Macaca fascicularis: one gene and its partner. The protein of the gene in region 2 interacts with the protein of the main gene of each other region in a pairwise test. Links are inferred from orthologs where the notes say so. Each region holds a gene or a part of one and is shown on either strand. Other genes may lie near its edges.

Region 1 (6,377 bases), on a different chromosome or scaffold from region 2:
AAACACCATATCGACATCCTGCTCGACCCCAAACTTCAGATCCTGGATGTCCTTTTCCGACACAGCAGGCAAGTCCACAGCAGCCCCAGGAAGGTTCACACCCTTCTTGCTGCCCAAGGAGCCACCATTTTCCACCTCCGTCACCAGGAAGTCAGCACCTGTGTTTTGAAAAGGGGTAAGCAGGGGAGGCAGAGTACCGAGGGCACAGCTCAACAGGAAGCAGGCACCTTTCCCCCAAGCACAGTGAGCTGGGAAGTGGTGCATTATGGGTGCTGGAGCTGTTTTACCAGAGTTGAAACCCTACTACAACTAACTGTGTAATCCTAGGCAAGCCATTTAACCTCTCTGTACCTCACTTTCCACACCCATAAAAAAGGAGAATTAAGATTGTTTTGACTTTGGGAGGCCAAGGCAGGCAGATCACTTGAGGTCAGGAGTTTGAGACCAGCCTGGCCAACATGGTGAAACCCCGTCTCTACTAAAAATACAAAAAAACTAGCCAGGCGTGGTGGCGGGTGCCTGTAAACCCAGCTACTCGGGAGGCTGAGGTAGGAGAATCGCTAGAACCCTGGGGGCAGAGGTTGCAGTGAGCCAAGATTGTGCCACTGCACTCCAGCCTGGGCAACAGAGCGAGACTCTGTCTCAAAAAAGAAATATATGTGTGTATATATATATGTTCCTATGTTCTCCGGAACCAGAAGAATGTAACTATGCTGGATTAAAGCCTGTCTTTGAGGATAAATGAGTTATAAAAGGGATTCCTGAGAACACACAGACTCAATGTCACTGCCAGGCAACCAACCTTCCCATCTTCCTTGTGTCAAGGAACTTTAGAGACAAAAGATGGGTTTTAGACAATTGGATTCCAGCTCCCATACGTACCTTTCTGCTTCACCTGGAGAGAAATAAGCCCATCATCCACGTAGATCTTGCTGCCCACTTCCACCACCTTGCAGATGTTCTTGTAGTCCAGCCATAGGATGTTCTCGTCACACTTTTCCATGTAGGCGTTATCCAGCGTGATTTTGAGAGTGGCTCCCTTCTTCAGCTCCACCTCTGCAGTGCCGCTCTAGGGAGTAAGCAAGAGAGTAAGCCAGAGTCCAAACTGGAGACACCAGTAGCAGCATCACCGCAGAAGCAATGGAAAAGCTCTTTCCTCCAGGGAACAATGCTCAAGTCACCGCTAAAAATAATACAGTTTTTTGCTCTTATTCTCTAACTCAGTACACTTCACAGAAATAATCTAAGAAAATAGAATATAATGTTTCAGTTATGCTACTTAATGATGGGGAAAAAGATACAAAGAGATGGTTCCCCAAGTTAGAAAGCCTAAAGTTTAGGTTTTTAGGGTAAAAAAAGGGTTCCTCTGTGGTACCATTTCCTAGCAAAGTAAATCAAATCAACATTGTTTACAGTGATGAATAAATCCTCATTTGTAGACCTCAACTCCTCTACAGTCCTTCATAGTGCTGGGATGAAACACGGCATCTCAACGCTTTGGAGGACATGTCTCTGGGGCATATTGCCTACTGAGTCTTTCCCTCGCTCTCCACAGAATACTCACGCCCTTGATGAGCCCAGTTCGGATCTCAGGTCCTTTAGTGTCCAGAGCCACAGCAACGGGCCGGTAGAGGATGGGGTCAGAAGCAAAGCTTTCCGTGGCTGTGCGCACATTCTTGATGGTCTCCGCGTGGTACTGGGGAAAAAGAAGGAAGATGACAAGCGTGCTCCCACACTAGGATCCAGCTCAATTTCCCTGCCCAGGAGCCAAAGCTGATCACTCAGGAAAGGCCTGTGGATGTCTTAGAGCTCTATCTCCATCCTCAGAACGATCCATGCACTGAGAACTCCTCTACCTGCTTAATCCAATCTCCTCAGCCTCCACCCACTTCTACTACAGCAGTAATTCACCCTAAGGGCAAATCTTTGAAACGCTGGTGGCAAATTTCAGAATATTGCCACCAAAACCCATTAAGGTATGGGTGCAAACATGTCTCATCATAAAAGCAGCTGTGTTCCCAGGGCTGTTCTTTTTTCCCTAAGACTCATCAAATACCCTCAGCAAATAAAGCTGATAAACAGGGCAAAAAGCCTAGAACTTGTGTTTGGATAAGGCTGATCTGGCAATCAATGTCACATTCTGATATATGTGGTAATGCTGAGAGCTTTTCCTCTATTGATTCCAACTACAACGCAAACTTGAAGTTATTGACTTAAGCTAACAGTGGCCCAAGCTAAACAACTCATTGCTAAGGTCACACAGACCTGATTTTCTCAATCACTTTTTTTTTGGGGGAATACAGTCTCACTGTGCCGTCCAGGCTGGAGTGCAATGGCACAATCTCAGCTCACTGCAAGCTCCGCCTCCCAGGTTCACACCATTCTCCTGCCTCAGTCTGGGACTGCAGGCGCCCACCAGCAGGCCTGGCTAATTTTTTGGATTTTTAGTAGGGACTGGGTTTCACCATGTTATCCAGGATGGTCTCGATCTCCTGACCTTGTGATCCGCCCACCTTGGCCTCCCAAAAGTGCTGGGATTACAGGGGTGAGCCACTGCGCCCAGCCTCAATCACTTTCTAGATTCTGACTGGAGACGGGGAAAGGTGGTCATATGCCTTTCTCTAAATGAACTGCCCTTTATTATTCCTTGCTTGCAACAAATCTGTGCTTCAATCTTTTTTCTTAAGCCTTTCCTCCTTTCCATTTACCATTTTGTTTGTTTAAAAGAGGGACTCAGGCTAAGCACAGTGGCTCATGCCTGTAAACCAAACACTTTGGGAGGCTAAGGTGGGAGGACAGCTTGGGCCCAGGAGTTTGAGATGAGCCTGGGCAACACGGCGAAACCCCATCTCTACAAAAAACACAAAAATTAACTGTGCATGATGGTGGGTGCATGGGGTCCCAGCTACTTGTGAGGCTGAGGTGGGAGGATCACTTATGTCTAGGAGGTCAAGGCTACAGTGAGCCATGATCATACCACTGCACTCTGGCCTGGATACCCTACTATCCAAAGCAACACCCTATCTCAAGAAAAAAGATTTAAAAAAAAAAAAAAAAAAAAAAAAGCTGCAGAGCCAAGATGTCGAAAGAGCTCTAAGACAGCGTGATCAATATGACATTGCTGATAACAAGGGCACCTAATTCAGCACTTTCTGGGCCTTGTCCTTTAACCACCACTGTCCAGGAAAGCGGCACCTGCAAGTAAGCCTGCCTGTTATTCACAGGATGCTGGAGGGAGCTGGAGCCAGAGCTTAGCCTCTAAAGACAATGTTGCCTGAAGCCTGTATCTGAAAATCTTCAGCTTCTTATTCAGGCATACTCCCTAATGAGGGACCGTTGGCTTGTTCGTTTTTTATAGGGTTCCTTATAAATTATTATATTTTCTTGCTTACTGGCTTGTAATAGAAATAGAACAAAATAGAATTGAATAGAGGCTGGGTGCGGTGGCTCACGCCTGTAATCCCAACACTTCGGGAGGCCAAGGCGGGTGGATCATGACATCAAGAGATCAAGACCATCCAGGCCAATATGGTGAAACCCCATCTTGACTTAAAATACAAAAATTAGCTGGGAATGGTGGCGCGCACCTGTAGACCCAGCTACTCGGGAGGCTGAGGCAAGAGAACCACTTGAACCTAGGAGGCAGAAGTTGCGGTGAGCCGAGATCGTGCCACTGCACTCCAGCCTGGGCGACAGAGTGAGATTCTGTCTCTAAAAAAAATAAAAGAATAGAATAGAAATAGTTGTTTTCTTTTAAGGGGATGTGGTACCTTTCCTTCAGAGTTGATGTGAGCAGTAAAAGAATACATTAAGTATTAGGACAAAGTACATGGTAATTATTTAACAAATGTTACCTATTATTATCATCTTATAATGGTAAGACTCAGGTGGACTGAGTTCCACCATAACTGTGGCTTTGTTGGGATGTTATCATGTGGTAAAGAGTTCCACCCATCAATGCTGTCCTGCAGAAGGCTCTATATTTAGCTACATTTAGGTTGTTTAAAAGTCATCCTTAACTCAGGCCGGGCGCAGTGGCTCACGCCTGTAATCCCAGCACTTTGGGAGGCCGAGGTAGGGGGGATCACAAGGTCAGAAGATCGAGACCATCCTGGCTAACACGGTGAAACCCAATCTCTACTAAAAATACAAAAACAAAATTAGCTAGGCGTTGGTGGCAGGCGCCTGTAGTCCCAGCTACTCGGGAGCCTGAGGCAGAGAATGGTGTGAACCCGGGAGGCACAGCTTGCAGTGAGCCGAGATCGTGCCACTGCATTCCAGCCTGGTTGACAGAGTGAGACTCCGTCTTAAAAAAAAAAAAAAGTCGGCCGGGCGCGGTGGCTCAAGCCTGTAATCCCAGCACTTTGGGAGGCCGAGACGGGCGGATCACGAGGTCAGGAGATTGAGAGACGATCCCGGCTAACACGGTGAAACCCCGTCTCTACTAAAAAATACAAAAAAAATAGCCGGGCGAGGTGGCGGGCGCCTGTAGTCCCAGCTACTCGGGAGGCTGAGGCAGGAGAATGGCGTAAACCCGGGAGGCGGAGCTTGCAGTGAGCTGAGATCCGGCCACTGCACTCCAGCCTGGGTGACAGAGTAAGACTCCGTCTCAAAAAAAAAAAAAAAAAAAAAAAGTCAACCTTAACTCTACTTAATCTTAATGTAGAATTTTGTGCTCCTAGAATAAAATCTACTTGGTCATGGATCAAGACATTCCTTTCAATCACTACTGGATTTGGATTATTAAATTTTATTTGTTTTCTGCATCTAAGTGAGACTGGTCTAGCACGCTGTTAGTACCTGCCTGGTTTTGGTACTGTCCTTGTCTGATCTCAGTATCAGAGTATGTTGGTTTCAAAGAACACAGTGGGAAGATTTCTGTATTTCTCTAGGCTCTGGAACAGTTTAACAATGTAACTGAATTTTGAAGGGGAGACAATTCAGCCACTAAAATCGTTTGGACTTAAATGTTCTGAGATGAACCAGATCTTAGCCACTTTTTCAACTTTTTGGCTGGAGTGCAGTGGTGCAATCTCAGTTCACTGCAGCCTCCACCTCCCCAGGTTCTAGCAATTCTCCTGCCTCAGGCTCCTGAGTAGCTGGGACTGCAGGCATGTGCCACCATGCCCCGCCAGTTTTGTATTTTTAGTAGAGACAGGGTTTCACCATGTTGGCCAGGCTGGTCTCGAACTCCTGACCTCAAGTGATCCCTCTTCCTTGGCTTCCCAAAGTGCTGGGATTGCAGGTTGAGCCCAGCCCACTTTTTCAACTTCTTATGGCCACTGGTCTATTCATATTTTCTATCTTTTTGGCATTTAATCTTTTCTTGGAAAATAGCCAGTGTCATCTCTCTCTATAGGAATTAAGTTATAAGTCTTTCTTGACTTTTAAAATCTCCAATGTGTAGGAAATATTCCCTTTTCTATTCATACTCTTATTTGTACATCCTTGCATTCTTCACCTGGCTTCCCAGAACTTTCTATTTTACTATTTTTTACCCACAAATAATCAGCTCTTAGCTTAATTTGTCAAATTTATTTTCATTTCATTGAGCTATAATCTTACAAAATTATTTTTCTTCACCCTTTTTAGGGTTTTCCTCCCCTAGTGTTCTGAGTTAAATATTTATTCCATCTACCTTGAGATCTTTGCTTTCTAAAGTAAGCACACTTCAGTTTTCTTGACTTTGTTCTTAATTTCCATTAAAAAATGTTTAGCAGAGAATGTGTCTGTATAATTTCTACTTTATGAAACTTGGGGTTTTTTTTGGTGGCCTAATATGTATTTGTAACCATGAGTGTTTCACACAAACATGCATTTTTGGTCTTGGGGATGTAAAACTATGTATTATAAACATACCAATTATTAGGTGTATTATTCAAATCTATGTTATATATTATAATCTCTTAGAGCATTTCTGGGAGGTGTACTGAGTCTTCTACTATAGCTGTGGCTTTGTTGGGATGTTACATGGTAAAGAGTTTCATCCATCAATGCTGTCCTGTGGAAGGCTCTACATTTAGGTTGTTTGAAAGTCATTTTTTCTAGGCCAGGCACAGTGGCTCACACCTGTAATCCCAGCACTTTGGAAGGCCAAGGCAGACATATCACTTGAGGTCAGGAATTCGAGATCAGCCTGGCCAAAAAGGTGAAACCCCATCTCTACTAAAATACAAAAATTAGCCGGGCATGGTAGCAGATGCCTGTAATCTCAGCTACTTAGGAGGCTGAGACAGAAGAATCTCTTGAACCCAGGAGGTGGAGGTTGCAGTGAGCCAAGATGAGCCAAGATCGTGCCATTGCACTCCAGCCTGGGTGACACAGCAAGACTCTCTCTCTAAATAAATAAATAAATCTGGAAAACACGGCATATGGAA
Region 2 (6,377 bases):
GGCAGGAGAATCGCTTGAACCCAGCAGGCGGAGGTTGCAGTGAGCCAAGATCATGCCATTGCACTCCAGCCTGGGCTACAAGAGCAAAACTCCCTCTCAAAAAAAAAAAAAAAAAAAGGGGGGCCAGGCACAGTAGCTCACGCCTGTAATCCCAGCACTTTGGGAGGCCGAGGCGGGCGGATCACGAGGTCAGGAGATCAAGACCATCCTGGCTAACATGGAGAAACTCCGTCTCTACTAAAAATATAGAAAATCAGCCAGGCGTGGTGGCGGGCGCCTGTAGTCCCAGCTACTAGGGAGGTTGAGGCAGGAGAATGGCGTGAACCCGGGAGGCGGAGCTTGCAGTGAGCCGAGATCATACCACTGCACTCCAGCCTGGGCGACAGAGCGAGACTCCATCTCAAAAAAAAAAAAAGAAAAAATCTCCAAAATGACAACCAAAATTCCAGCCAAGCAACTGGGATCAGAATATTAATAGCAGTTGCTGAGTACTTACTATGTGCTAAGTGTTGAATCTGCACCATCTTATAAAATCTTCACAAGAGTTTCTCAAGCCAAATGGCCCTCAGTAGAATCTGCATGGGCTACTTGCTAGCTGTGTGGCCTTGAACAAGTGGCTTACCCTCTCTGAGCTTTAAGTTACCTCAACTACAAAATAGAAACAGTAACAGAATCTATCCCATAAAGTTGTGTTAAATGATAAAACTTATGTTAAGAGCTTAGTGCCTAGGACATACAGAATATTCAGTAACTGGTGACTGTTGGTACTCTCTTCATTTTACTTATGGAGAAACTGAGGCTCAGGGAGATGGAGACAGAGTTTCACTCGTGCTGCCCAGGCTGGAGTGCAATGGTGTGATCTTGGCTCACCACAACCTGACTCCCGGATTCAAGCGATTCTCCTGCCTCAGCCTCCCGAGTAGCTGGTATTACAGGTATGCGCCACCACGCCCAGATAATTTTGTACTTTTAGCAGAGACGAGGTTTCTCCGTGTTGGTCAGGCTGGTCTGGAACTCCCAACCTCAGGTGATCCACCTGCCTCGGGCTCCAAAGTACTGGGATTACAGGTGTGAGCCACTGTGCCCGGTGGACCCACTCTTGAATGTCTTAGCTTAGGGAAGCTGACAGTGGAGCAAGCAGCTCATCTACAGCAGTGGATGTCCCCAAGTCCACTGGTATCTCTGCTTTGGGATGTATTTTGTCCTCACCTATGGGGTATATCTGGAGCTCTGAAAACAGACTTAGCACCAGATACTGAAGGTTTGCAAGAGAGCGACACAGGAGGTGCCAAGAAGCTCTTCTCTTTCCCATGCCAGTCCATTTATAGTTCTTCCTTGTTCCTTCACCCTTCCCCTGTTCCCCAACCTCAGCTGGTCATTGGAGCACCATCTCTCAGACCAAGGCAACAGTCGGCAGTGTAGGATCTGCCCTCTGTTTCTCTGTTGTGTTTTAGCTGTTTCTCTTTTAGCTGTGCGACCTTCAGCAAATTAACATTTTTGCTTCCATTCAGTTTCTTCATTTCCCTTATTATTTTCACCCCTATTATTGTTATGATTGCATTGTTACAATTATTATAGGCACTCTATGGAAGAGTAATTACAAACAGAAATGAAGACGATGTTGATAAATTAAGGTGCCTGAGTATCACAGGTGATAGCATTAAGAAGCTGAAGCTGGGCCGGGCGCGGTGGCTCAAGCCTGTAATCCCAGCACTTTCAGAGGCCGAGGCTGGTGAACCATGAGGTCAGGAAATCAAGACCACCCTGGCTACGGTAAAACCCTGTCTCTACTAAAAATACAAAAAAATTAGCCGGGTGTGGTGGCGGGTGCCTGTAGTCTCAACTATTTGGGAGGCTGAGGCGGGAGAATGGCGTAAACTCAGGAGGCGGAGCTTGCAGTGAGCCGAGATTGTGCCACTGTACTCCAGCCTGGGTGACAGAGCAAGACTCTGTCAAAAAAAAAAAAAAAAAAAAAAAAAAAAAAGAAGAAGAAGCTGAAGCTAAGACTACCTTTAGGCAATAACTAGTACATCTTTAGGACTCTACAGGACCTTTCTTTTTTTTTTTTTTTTTTTTTTTTTGAGACAGAGTCTCGCTCTGTCGCCCAGGCTGGAGTGCAGTGGCCGGATCTCAGCTCACTGCAAGCTCCGCCTCCTGGGTTCAGGCCATTCTCCCGCCTCAGCCTCCCGAGTAGCTGGGACCACAGGCGCCCGCCACCTCGCCCGGCTAATTTTTTGTATTTTTTTTTTTTAGTAGAGACGGGGTTTCACCGTGTTAGCCAGGATGGTCTCGATCTCCTGACCTTGTGATCCGCCCGTCTCGGCCTCCCAAAGTGCTGGGATTACAGGCTTGAGCCACCGCGCCCGGCCTCTACAGGACCTTTCTGCATCAATATCTGATTTTTTGCAATAGCACCATGAGTTGGTCATTATTAGAGGGCTCACTTTTAACCTGATTTTTTAAATTAGAAAATAAAACTCAGGCAGAAGGGGGGCTTGCCAAAGGTCACACAGATAATAAACAAATGGCAGGACCAGGATTTAAACTCAGGACTGTCTGATTCCAGAGGCCATATTATTTCTACTGCCCCAAGAGGCTTCCCTGCCATGGATCCATTGGTAATTTATGAAGCAGGAATTCTGTACCAGGCACTGTGCTAGGCTCTGGGCTCATTAAGAAAGTGACTATATGATTTTTTTTTTTTTTTGAGACAGAGTCTGGCTGGCTCTGTTGCCCAGGCTGGAGTGCAGTGGCATGATCTTGGCTCACTGCAACCACTGCTTCCTGGATTCAACCGATTCTCCTTCCTCAGCTTCCCAAGTAGCTGGAATTACAGGCATGTGCCACCACGTCCGGCTAATTTTTGTATTTTTAGTAGAGACGAGGTTTCACTGTGTTGGTCAGGCTAGTCTCAAACTCCTGACCTCAAGTGATCCGCCCACCTTGGCCTCCCAAAGTGCTGGGATTACAGGAATGAGCCACCACAGCCGGCCAGAAGGTGGCTATATGAATTTGATTGATACCTGGGCATCTTTATTAGTGTATCTGCCTCCCCATGGGGCTCAGTGGGAGGGATGCTGGTTTCCAGGGATCAGGCAGGCGAATAGACAAGTGGCACCACCACCACCTTTACCTGTTCCAAAGTCGATGGCTCTCAGGGCATCTGCTATGTGCTCTAAATTCAAAGTAAAGAAGTCCATGTTCTCAAAGCCCTGCTCTGTCTTCCCCAGCTGGCAGCCCTTGGAAGCTTCCACAATGCTGTGGGGGAGACAGAAAGAGAGGCAGGATGAGATCTCTGGGGCTCAGTGCAGGAAGGAGAGGGCACATGCCTTGCACATGCCCAGGGCTTCTACCCAGAGGCTCCCCTGGAGGGATGGGGTATTTCCTCTCCAATCTTAAGCACAGTGAGTGGTCCAAAAAGTCAGGGATGCAAAGGGTCAGGGAAGCCAGCCTAGAGTTAGACCCTCCCAGCAGACCTAATGCCCAGGACGAGGCTTCCTGGACAGAGGTCCTGGTGGGAACTAGGGGCCTGGATCATAGCCTCTGGGGAGACACTGACCTTTTGATGAGTTGCTTGGCAGTCTGCAGGGGGAGACAGAACAAAGGATTAGGACCGCAGAAGAGGTAACCCGAGGAAATCAGCAAAACCAGTGACTGGACATTTGGTGCCATTCCCTAGCACAGTTGTGACCTGCTCCCCACCCCAAACTGAGCAGAATTTGGAACTTTTCCCTCTGTCTGTGGTCTGTACAGGTCTTGGTCATCACCCTAGGACCCATTGTCTTGGCAGGAAGCTTGGATTCTAGGGGTATCAATCCAAAAACTCCTAAACCCTGAACTCCCCAATCCTAACCACCTTTTCATACCTAATGTCTAGCACAAAGCCTGGCCCACAGGAGAAGCCTAGAACATTTTTATTGAACTGAACTATGAAGTCTTATAACTGAGGCTTTTCTGTCCTCCCCAACAAGCTCTTTGAGGACAGGGCTGTGTCTGGTTTATCTCCTTGTATTCCACCTCAGTGCCTGGCCTACAGTAGGGGCTCAATTAATAGTCCGTAGATGGGACACTGTATTTTGCAGCTTACAAAGTCATTTCATAAACATCCTCTTATTTGATCATCATAAAATCAGTAATAGGAAGGTGGGGGGTGTTACATGCCCATTTGACAGATGAGGAAACTGAGGCTCACAGAGGTTTAAATGACTTTTCCAAGGGTCCATGGGTGGTCAGTGGAGAAGCATAACTGGAACCTTAGAGCTGTCGAGTTGAACTGACCCCACCCAGACCCTTCTAGTCCTGCTCACCAAGAGGAAGGTGGCTCCCCCAGGCTCGTCCAGGGACTGGATGGCCGTCTCCACCAGCTTTGTGGACTTGTCCAGCTGTTCCTGGTACTGCTGGATGAGGGCCTCGATGAAGCTGAGCTTTTCCTCCTGCTCCTGCGTGATCCGCTGCAGCAACTCACTTTTCTTCTCATCCAGGATGGCATACAGCGTGTCAAATTTCTGGCTCAGCTCTTCCTTTACCTGGTGACTGTTCTCCTGAGGACGGAAGTCTTGCAGTCACATTCTGTAGGGTCCTTACTCCCTGTCCGCTACACTCCCTTCCTGGTACAGTAGCAAGGAATCTAAAGCTAGAAGAGATCTCACTACATACATCCCCACACTACAGAAGATGAAACAAAGGCTTAACAAGAAGAAAACACTCATCTGGCCTCACAGCTACTTAGTACACCAGTGATATTTGGAGGCTGATGCCTTGAAAAACAGCTAGCCCCTTCTTCCAAAATAGAGGCTCTAGGGTCACATGACATTACATATTCTTCCTTGTTCCTGCACCCTCCTCCTGTCCCCCAACCTCAGCTGGTCACTGGAGCATCACTTCTCAGACCAATGCAACAGTCACCAACGTGGGATCTGCCCTCTCTTTCTCTTTTTTTTTTTTTTTGAGATGGAGTCTTGCTCTGTCACCCAGGCTGGAGTGCAGTGGTGCGATCTTGGCTCACTGCAACCTCCACCTCCCAGGTTCAAGTGATTCTCCTGCCTCAGCCTTCTGAGTAGCTGGGATTACAGGTGCGCCACCACGCCTGGCTAATTTTTGTATTTTTTAGTAGAGATGGGGTTTCACCATGTTGGCCAGGATGGTCTCGATCTCCTGACCTCATGGTCCCCCCACCTTGGCCTCCCAAAGTGCTGGGATTACAGGCATGAGCACTGCGCCCAGCTCTCCGTTGCCTTTTAGCTGTGTTTCCCTTTTAGCTTTGTGACTTTCAGCAAATGAATGTATTTGCTTCCATTCAGTTTCCTGGGCCTCCCGTTTGTCTCAGATCACACTCTTCCCTCCCTTTCAAGACCAAGACTGGATTCAGGAAGCTTTGCATCATTTGGTCCTAGGAGAGGTGGAAAAACAGCTCGTTTCCTAGCACCCTCCTCAACTGACGCTCCCTTCTATGTTCTTTTCTGTAAAATGGGTGTGACAATAGCATCTCATCAGACCCAGGAGCCTCTCATGGGTTCATGGGTGATCAGAATGTTCCCCTCCTTCCTACCCTTCGCCCGACTCTTGGTCCACTAGCAATTATGACGACCCCTTCCCCTCATCTCATCTCCAGGTCCCTACCCCAGGTGAACATGGAAAATCATGGAAGCTTTTTTCAGGGATAGAAAAGTTCCATTTTGCCCTCAACAGTCTCACTACTCAAAGTGTGGTCCGTGGACCCAGCAGCTTGGGCAAATCCTGGGAACTGGCTAGAAATGCAGCTCTTATGCCTCATTCCAAACTGACTGAATCAGAACCTGAATTTCAACATGATCCCAGGGTGATTTTCATGCACTTTAAAGTTTGGGAAGTGTTGGTCTATAGGAAAGAACGGTGCTCTGAAAACGATTTGTGCTGAATAAACACTGAGAACTATTGATGGGACACTCCCTGAGTTCAGGGACCATGTCTGTCTGGTTCATTCCTCCATCCCCCACATCTCGGGTGGGGCCGGACACACAGCTGTGCTTAAGAAGCATTTGTTGAGAGAGTGGGTGAATGGATTAGTCCCTCCCCTGCCATTCCTGCTTGACCCCCAGGCTCCAGGCCCCAACCTTTAGCCACAACCCATGGGTGAGCCTTCCCCAGAGACCAGGCTGCCCTGGAAAGCTCCAAACCCCCAAGCAGAACTATTCTGTCCCCTCACCTTGGTCACTCGACAGGAGTCCTCCAGCTGAGTGATGATGGTCTGCACACGGTCATTCCCCGCCACCAGCATGGAGATACAGTTATTCAGTTCAATCTAGATGGGGGTGTGGGGGTCAGGAGAGGAGAGATACAAATAGCCTCAAGGCCTACCCACCGGGGCATGGCAGCAACCTGGCTCCCTCCCTCCCCTC

The links.
Region 1: the proteins of TRIM63 (region 2) and PKM interact in a two-hybrid assay, tested with the Homo sapiens proteins (3 studies listed by BioGRID and IntAct). The link is inferred for Macaca fascicularis from reciprocal best matches to the Homo sapiens genes TRIM63 and PKM.

Annotation. Positions count from the first base shown.
Region 1 is NC_088381.1:49,042,257-49,048,633, forward strand, and holds part of PKM (pyruvate kinase PKM), read right to left. Parts: intron 1,697-6,377; coding exon 1,565-1,696; intron 1,070-1,564; coding exon 883-1,069; intron 159-882; coding exon 1-158. UniProt on the Homo sapiens protein: Catalyzes the final rate-limiting step of glycolysis by mediating the transfer of a phosphoryl group from phosphoenolpyruvate (PEP) to ADP, generating ATP.
Region 2 is NC_088375.1:209,083,353-209,089,729, reverse strand, and holds part of TRIM63 (E3 ubiquitin-protein ligase TRIM63), read right to left. Parts: intron 6,281-6,377; coding exon 6,185-6,280; intron 4,542-6,184; coding exon 4,308-4,541; intron 3,583-4,307; coding exon 3,560-3,582; intron 3,259-3,559; coding exon 3,134-3,258; intron 1-3,133. UniProt on the Homo sapiens protein: E3 ubiquitin ligase. Mediates the ubiquitination and subsequent proteasomal degradation of CKM, GMEB1 and HIBADH.